Schizosaccharomyces pombe: one gene and its partner. The protein of the gene in region 1 interacts with the protein of each later gene in a pairwise test. Each region holds a gene or a part of one and is shown on either strand. Other genes may lie near its edges.

The links.
Region 2: the proteins of sec18 (region 1) and isu1 interact in a two-hybrid assay, tested with the Schizosaccharomyces pombe proteins (2 studies listed by BioGRID).

What each region holds. Positions count from the first base shown.
Region 1 is NC_003424.3:4,717,962-4,722,678, forward strand, and holds sec18 (secretory pathway protein Sec18), read right to left. Parts: upstream 3,175-4,717; 5' UTR 3,156-3,174; coding exon 777-3,155; 3' UTR 552-776; downstream 1-551. Other genes in the region: SPOM_SPAC1834.10C (uncharacterized protein), read right to left, coding at 1-66, 128-350; SPOM_SPAC1834.13 (uncharacterized protein), read right to left, coding at 4,387-4,623. UniProt on the Schizosaccharomyces pombe protein: Required for vesicle-mediated transport. Catalyzes the fusion of transport vesicles within the Golgi cisternae. Is also required for transport from the endoplasmic reticulum to the Golgi stack.
Region 2 is NC_003424.3:516,916-520,663, forward strand, and holds isu1 (Fe-sulfur cluster assembly protein Isu1), read right to left. Parts: upstream 2,037-3,748; 5' UTR 1,529-2,036; coding exon 950-1,528; 3' UTR 501-949; downstream 1-500. Other genes in the region: rna4 (Prp4 family U4/U5/U6 small nuclear ribonucleoprotein complex subunit), read left to right, coding at 1-332. UniProt on the Schizosaccharomyces pombe protein: Scaffold protein for the de novo synthesis of iron-sulfur (Fe-S) clusters within mitochondria, which is required for maturation of both mitochondrial and cytoplasmic [2Fe-2S] and [4Fe-4S] proteins.

The sequences.
Region 1 (4,717 bases):
CCTCCGAAACATAAGATTTAGCAGCCCAGTGAATTATTGCAGTCGACAAACTAGTAGTAGTACATGCTAACATGTTAATAAATTTGCTTTGGAAATTTTGGTAATCCGATTTCTTGATGAAACATACCCAAGAAAACCATCGACATTCTCGTTCCCAAACTTAAACCTCCTGCATCAAGTAAAAGCATCACTGGAGAAATCATATAAGTTAAACCTAATGATCCAATCGAAAACTTTTTAATGTTTCCTATAGCTTTTTTAAGTGGAGCATCATATACAGCTGCTAGACTAAATGATGTTGAAGCAAACCAGCGTCTTGCACCAAGTAGTATTTCGGAGGGCATATTCATTTTAGAATTAAGTATGTGAGTTGAATGTTACGATTTTTAAATTTCCATGTCCTTTACTATTTATGACTGATGAAATTAAAGATTTAGAATATGAACCGGGTCAATGTGGAGTGGAAATAGCGAATTGGTAAATTGTGCCTCTCAGTATGGGAGTAATGTAGTATGCTTAAATTGTTTACAATGCTTCAAATGATTATTTATGGATAATTGACTATAAAAGGCTATAAAGTTATATTGATAAGCATTCATTTAACAAGATGATTTAATTTTTTTAACGTTACATATAGGTTCGAACATCTTTTAACTTAATATTCATACAGTATTGCGGTGTATTCATTAACTATAATCTATAACGGTATAAAATATAAAAAACCTTGAGAAAATATTCATGACTAAAACGTCTCAGTTATTAAAAAGGTGTCATTGCTATTCCATAGGAATAGCACGGGCCATGGCTTCAACAAAACAGGAAACAACGTCTACATCCTGTTTAGCCGTTTCGGCTATCATAAGAATCTTGGCTACTCCGACATTGACAGCATCAGTACCAGTAAAGTTCTGCAAACGTTGTAATGTATCAGCTCGAACATTGCTGTCTGCAAATGAATCTATTGATTGTATGATGCGGTCCAGTTCAGTAACGTTGGAGACATTAGGAACTGCTATTTCTGCATCAAACGATTGGGTCATATCCATTCGAGAGAGCATAGTACGTTCAGAGGTAGTTGCTAAAATAAGCAATCGATGACCCTTGGGGGGTTGCTTTTTGAAAAGAACCATAAGTGTTTGAAGTAAGGTGTTAGAAAATCGAGGTCCGATTGGTACCCAATCAATAATACGTTCAATCTCATCTACTACAATGACGCTAAGAGGACTTTTGTAGCTGTCTTCGAACACACGATTGACATGAGCTACTCGAGCGTTTTCATTCATTCCTACCATGGACTCAGCGGAAACGAGCTTAACAAATGGAAATTCAGAACCAAGGGCTATCGTGGCAGCCAATGCAGTTTTCCCTGACGCTATAGGGCCTGACAATAATACACTGACCAAACGTGTACGTTCGGAGTTTTTAACTTGTTGAACAAATAATTTTCCTTCGGTAATTATTTCTTCAATGTGTTTACCAAAATTGATAATGCCACCTTGCACACGGCTTTCGAGTTCCTCCTCACTCACACCATAAGCTGGTCTTACCTCACTTAAAGCATTCAAAAAGTCGTTACGATTCACCTTGATATTTTCCAAATTACCTGAAACAGCGGCAGTGGTTCCCACCTTGATGTGGCGATAAAAAGCAAAACTTGAAGCACTCTTGATTAATCCAGCAATTTCAGCACCAGAAAAGTTTTTAGTAAGAGATGCTAGCTCTTCCATGTCAACATCATTCTCTAAAATACCATTTGAAGCCATACGGGACGTATGGATTTTCAGAATCTGCAAACGGCCGTGTTCATCTGGAAGTGAAATTTCCATATGAACCTCAAGACGACCTGGACGCAAAAGAGCTTCATCGATCATGTCTTTTCTGTTAGTCATACCAATAACAAGGATATTATTCAGTTGATCAACGCCATCCATCTTAGCCAAAAGCTGATTAACGACCTGATCGCCAACACCTGTATCACCACCAGAACTTCCTCTCTTTTTACATATGGCATCTAATTCATCGAAGATAATAATATGAAGACCCGATTCCTCTCCGCGATCGCGATACTCACGTTCAGCATCGGCGAATAATTTACGAACGTTTTCTTCACTTTGACCGACGTATTTGTTTAGAATTTCAGGACCATTAACGATTTTCGGTTCACGGGCATTTAGCATTTTACCAATTTGTCGAGCAATTAATGTCTTACCAGTACCTGGAGGGCCATATAAGAGAATACCCTTAACATGATTAATACCCAGCTTTTCAACCATGCCAGGAGGAAAGAGACGAGAGGCAAATGCTCGACGGAAAATAGCACTGAACTCTGAGTCAAGACCACCAATGCCCATGTCCTCAAATTTAAAGCCTGGCTGAAGAATGGCATTAGAGGCAGGTCTTGTCATGCTAGCTTTCAAACGCAACGCAGAGTGAGCGGCTTTAAAAAATTGGATTTCGGTCTGGGAAGTCAAGAGACCACGTTTGCTGGTATCTGCAGTATTTTCGGCATCTTGATTCTCACCAATTAAAAGATCGACACAAGATATAGTACGGACGGTTGCCTTTATATTGTAAGAACGGAAATCGAAAACAATTTTCTGGCCCGGAGAAAAAACTTGGCTCTGATAACTAGAGCAAAATAACTTGGCCATCTCTTCACCGTCGAAAGGCTCATTAGTGGTGCGATTTCTATTTTGAAAGTCTACCTCCAAAGTCATACTATGAAGATAAGGAGCTCCATGAGGACCATATGGATCATAGTCGGCAACATGAACCTGCTGATTTAGCGACCAAGAAGCCCATTCGCGATGGGGCTGGGAAGCGCCAAGACAACCCTGTGGAAAGCCAGGAACGGGTTTAGTGCTGAACACACGAGAGTTGTCTACAATAATGTACTGCTGCTTAAAGTCCATGGGAGAAACAATGATACAATTGGTTAAAGCATCTTCGGTAGAAGTCGCCTTGACGATCCGAAAAGGACCTGAAGGGCGTCTAACATCCATATGTGTAGGCAGCGGTGGTTTTTGCTCAAAGGGGCTCATATTGGGTGTAGGACCAGCACTGTTATGGGAATAACTGCCACTTAGTGGTTTCCTCATAGGTTGCTCTGGTGTCCCTTTATTGGACATGAATGGAAGTTTCCATCTTGAGTCCATTGTTGAGTGCTTTGTTAATGGAAAATCGTTTTCAGTAAACGTAACGCTTTCCACCTACTACTAAAACATAATATAACGGAGTACGAAATACAGATTAGCGAATAGTGAAGTATACGTTTACCGTTTGATTGCGTAATCATAATTAAGCCATAAATTTCCAATGTCGTTATATTTTAGGACGAGATGTAGTGAAGCCATGTTACTTCCCAATTTACATTTGGCAAAAAAATTTTTTTCTCTCTCTTCTTGCAAAAGCCTCTTTACGCGTGCAATTATTGTAGCATGCAAGTGACTATTTTTTTAGCAGCCTTCTAAGATAGGAAAACTGTTTCCAATAAGACAAACCTTCTTGCAGACTGTTGTTGTCGTTTATTGAAGGGATTTCCCCTCCCCCTTTTGTATATTTATATATTTTATTTTATTTATAAATTTATTTTATTCATTATTAAACGTATAATAACGTCAAAAAATTTTATGTGTCATGAGTGATAATGTCTTCGCTTTAAGAATCGGTAGCTTAATGACATCCGTATTGGAAAGATCTCGCTTCTTGTTTAGCTTAGCTATACGACCGCTATAGACGTTGCCGCTTGACGCTAATTGCCGAGATTCGCATCATTCTTTTGAGCTTCACTTTACTAACCGAATACGGGTGATCATCCACTCAAAATATTAAATAAATAAGAAATAAAAAAAAAGTGTTACTTAAAAAAGAGTGTGTTTGGAGGAAGTGTTAGCAAGTTTTGATAGTAGGAGTAGAAAAAAAAATTTTCAGCGCCTCGTCTCCTTAAAAAATTTACACACCTTTCTAATGAATGTTATTGAGGCAAAGTCTTGAATTTTGATTTCCATTTCATCAATGATTAGCGTACCGAGTTTTTGCTGTCGTATAAACGGCCATTGATTTGCTAATGTCACCTTTTTCACATAACGAAACGGATTTCTGTCATACTGTCACAAATTTTTCAATTGGCATGATAACGGTAAATAGACCAAAATCTAGGATTCGCGAATGTTCAAACGCGATTATTAGGGAATGGAATTTTATTCGATATCTCACCTGAGTCACTGTTATTGTCACAAGTGAAGCCAGCCATTTCTTGAATCTGATTGAGGAGAAAGTGAGGTAAGATGGGATGGAGTGTTGATGACTTGGAAGGAAGGTCCCTTACAAATGATTATTTGTTCTTTTACAGGCAAACTAGTTATCCCGAGCTACACTGTCCTAACGTTATCCGCAATTCATTCTTACAAAGCTAAGGGAAACGGGGGCAAAGACTGAGTAAGGCGGCAGCGCACTTGCAAGTTTCGCAGGTACTTTAGCTATCCCCACCTCCCCTGATGTTGGCAGTGACTCGGATATTCTAGGCCTGCTTAGAAAGTGGTCATTTTCAGATTTCAGATTCAATACGCTTGCTCTTTTTGACACATAAGTTACTTCAAGTACCAATCGTCTGGCGAATATCATATGGTATATAGAAAATCGACCTTAATTTCATAAACTTTCGGCTTTTCCCACCCTTATCGAAGCTAGCTTGTGAAGGAGCCAATTATATTGTATT
Region 2 (3,748 bases), 4.2 Mb from region 1:
TCGCGATGGCTTGGAGTCCAAACGGCTACCAACTTGCAACTTCTTCAGCCGATGATACTGTGAAAATATGGGACTTGCGGAAAGTGTCATTGGCACATACTATTCCCGCACATTCTTCTCTTGTTTCAGACGTTCGTTATATTGAATCAGGTGTTAACAGATTCATCGCTACGAGTGGTTATGATGGCTGCGTAAAGCTTTGGAACCCGTTGAACTGCTCATTGATTAAAAGTATGGTGGGACACGAAGAAAAGGTTATGAGTGTTGACGGTTACGGAGACAGATTTATCTCATCAGGATACGATCGTACAATCAAGTTATGGTACCCTTAAATTTGGGTGTGGCAAACGGTTTTGGTAATGAGTTTAATATAGGCAAGACAGTCCTTTCTGACTATTTGCGTGATGGGCAACGAAACAATGAATATATATGAACATTTATATTACATGGTTTAATAGCTAGAAGATGATATTCATGTATACTACTAAAGTTTAAGCAAACACAGAAACAGCTTATAGTTTAGAAATAAAAGACTCTAAATTATTTTTCATTAGACGTATAAAGATTCGAATAAAATGCTATAGCAGGAACTAAAAAAAAAGGAAGGGGAAAATGTACAGAGTAATGATTTTTATAACCACAATAACAAGCAAATAAGCATCAGCAGCATTTTGAAAGAAAGCACTTGCATCAATTTAGTCCAGATACATATAGTGCAGAAACATTAATCAATATATATTGCTAAATGGGAGGAAGAATGCAAGCAAACACATAGACCATATGTTTACGCCAAAGTCGACAAGCAATCTTATGTGGAAAACACTGTTTACATGTACGCAGTTTAGGAATTAAAAGGACCGGGTAGAAAATTAGGAGGCGGGGTCAAAAAGCGGAGCGGAAATTAGCAGATTTTTAAACAGATGAAAGCTATGACTTTACAATCAAGTTTCTAAGCGGTAGCAGACTCAATAGCGCCAGCAGTTGTACCAACAGGCGTTAATTGTTTAGAGCGATAATGCTTTACAGCGCTTTTAATGGCATCCTCGGCAAGCATGGAGCAATGAAGTTTTACAGGAGGCAAGCAAAGCTCTTTGGCAATTTGGGTGTTTTTAATTTTAGAAGCCTCCTCAAGGGTCATGCCCTTGACCATAGTGGTAACGTAGGATGACGAGGCAATTGCACTACCACAACCAAAGGTCTTGAACTTTACGTCCTCAATAACACCATCCTTATTGACACGAATAGCAAGGCGCATAACATCGCCACAGGCGGGAGCACCTACCAAGCCGATACCCACATCGGGATCACCTTTGGGCAAAGTACCCACATTCCGAGGATTGTTGTAATGGTCTAAAACATTCTTATGGTACATACGACGAGAGACGTTTGCGGTGACTTGAGGGACGAATTTTGACGAGTTCGTTTTGAGAAACTGTAAATTCGCTGGACGGGCAAGAAGAGAAGAGCGTTGAGCCAAAATTGAAGGCAAAACGCCAACGCATTGAACGGAGCGACGGAAGACACTCATTTTAGGGAAAACAAAAGAAAAAAGAAAAAAATCAGATGACAAATCACGTCAAGATCTAACAAAATATCTGTATCACAAATCCAACTAGATTTGTTTTCAAAACGTATCAAGTAAAAGGCTTGAGTACGTTTTCAGTGTTTTTGGGGGATGGCAGGGAGTTTTCAAAGTTTCAGATTTTATCTGATCTATATAAAAAAAAATAACAGCTTTGCCTTTAAATCTCCTTATACGTAAATGACGTTAAAAAGTGTGTAAGGGTAACGCAAGGAAATTTGTAAACCGGGTTAATAAGATGACAATAACTATGTACACTCGATGAAAGGAAAAATCGATTCAACTATGTATCGACAATAAACAATCAAGACGTGGTTGAAAAAAATCGTGTCAGAGTTATGTAGTCTTATAGCACACAAAACGAATTGCTTTATTCAATGAAATTATTTTTCAAAACAACTTTAAATTTATGTTCAAAACGTCCAATATTAAATGTTGGTGAGTTGTATGAGTCAGTAGTGTTTGAGAGCAGTGCCTGCTATATATAGTGCAAGTCAGTCTTGAGTGTTTTCGGCCATCTTTATCTCATCTGATATGAGAAGAAATTCTGTTTGTCGAAAATGTGACTGTTTTTCCCTAACAAATCACAAAGCTAGCTTAAGGTGGATGGTAGCGAATAAAATAGGGAAGGCAATAGTGGCAAGCGAATCGGAAATGCGGTTTCAGCAGTAAACGCCAATTAAGGGACTAAAACGTAATCCGGTATTACTAGATTTACGAAGAAAAAGTTTTGGGGAGGCCACAACAAAGCAGTCTGAAGCTTATGCAAGTATGATGTACAGCTAGACAAATAAAGTTGTTTTCCATACACAATATGGAAATTCCAGTGTTCGATGGTGAAGGATATGTGTTCACAGTATATTCGAAACAAGGTTGTGGGATGTGGGATATGGAAATTGGAAAGAAGATGCCGTCCCCCTTTAACTGAGGAAGGAATATCAGATAGCAGGCAAGAAGTAGTTAGCGAGAAAGAAAGTAGTCAGTTAGGGAGTACAGGTGGAAGGGACGGCATGAGACAGACGGCAGAGAACGGGTAGGGTGCTTGTATGTTTAACAAAAATGATGATGAAAAGTTGGTGGATGCACGACTAGAAGCTGGGATACATGCTTGAACGGTTTTTTGGTTTCCATTTGTTTATCTGTTTTGCATTTATTTCGATATGTAATTAGTTGCTGGTTTGGATTATACATGTAAATAAAAAAGGTGTAAGGATAATCTTTCAAAAAGAGAAGTTTGTATAAGAAATGGTTAAGCCGTTTTTATTTTTTTTATTTTTTTTAATGCACCTCTTGCACTGCGTATGTTTTTTTGCAACAATCGATCCCGATAACATTGCCAAGGCCGCTAACCTACGATCATACTTTCCAATAGGCAAGAGCGAGTCCATAGTTGCTGGAACTAGGGTTCCGCATCACGGAATAACGGAGCTGGGCGAAAAAAAAAGGAACAGGTTGCAAAAAGGCACTATACATTTGATGTGTAACAAAGTAATATTCGAAACAGTCTATTTCACCAATAACAGTTTAGCGGTCTAACGGTTTTTTTAAAGGATGACTAGTTTTTTACAGCATTCAGTAAATTAGCGATATAACATTACTGCGCCCGTCATCCTTAATTAAGATAGGAAGGCCGTTGGAGATTGCAATAAAGTAATGGGCCTCCAAGCAATTGAGGAGTGTGATAAATATGAGAAATTATAACTATTTTTTAAATTTTGTTTTTATTATTTAATGTAAATATCGGTATTTCGAAATTGAATCAGTGGTATCTGAGACTTCTCTTAATTTTATATCTCACATGCTCCACAAGTGTCTTGGAGTGTATAGCAACAGAACTCAAGAACGTTGAATGTAACGTAGTGCAATGCTATTCATTCAAATTGGTAAATTTTTGATTGTGCATATTAACGTTACATTGCAATATATGTTGAGGATGCTGAAGTTGTATTGCATTTTTTAAAAATAACAGACTCCTACGGATTTATCCTTTGCTGCGCTATAATTTAGTAGCTTAGAAATCGTTCTATCCAGCTTGTAAAGCGAAGCAAACGCAACTTTGCGTATTGTGCGAATTGGACTCATGCTTGGAATTTCGAAACTTAAAAGGGATTCGGCTTTGAGCATGAGATCCCCACACTTGTCTTCTCTCCATCAAAAGTTATTGTG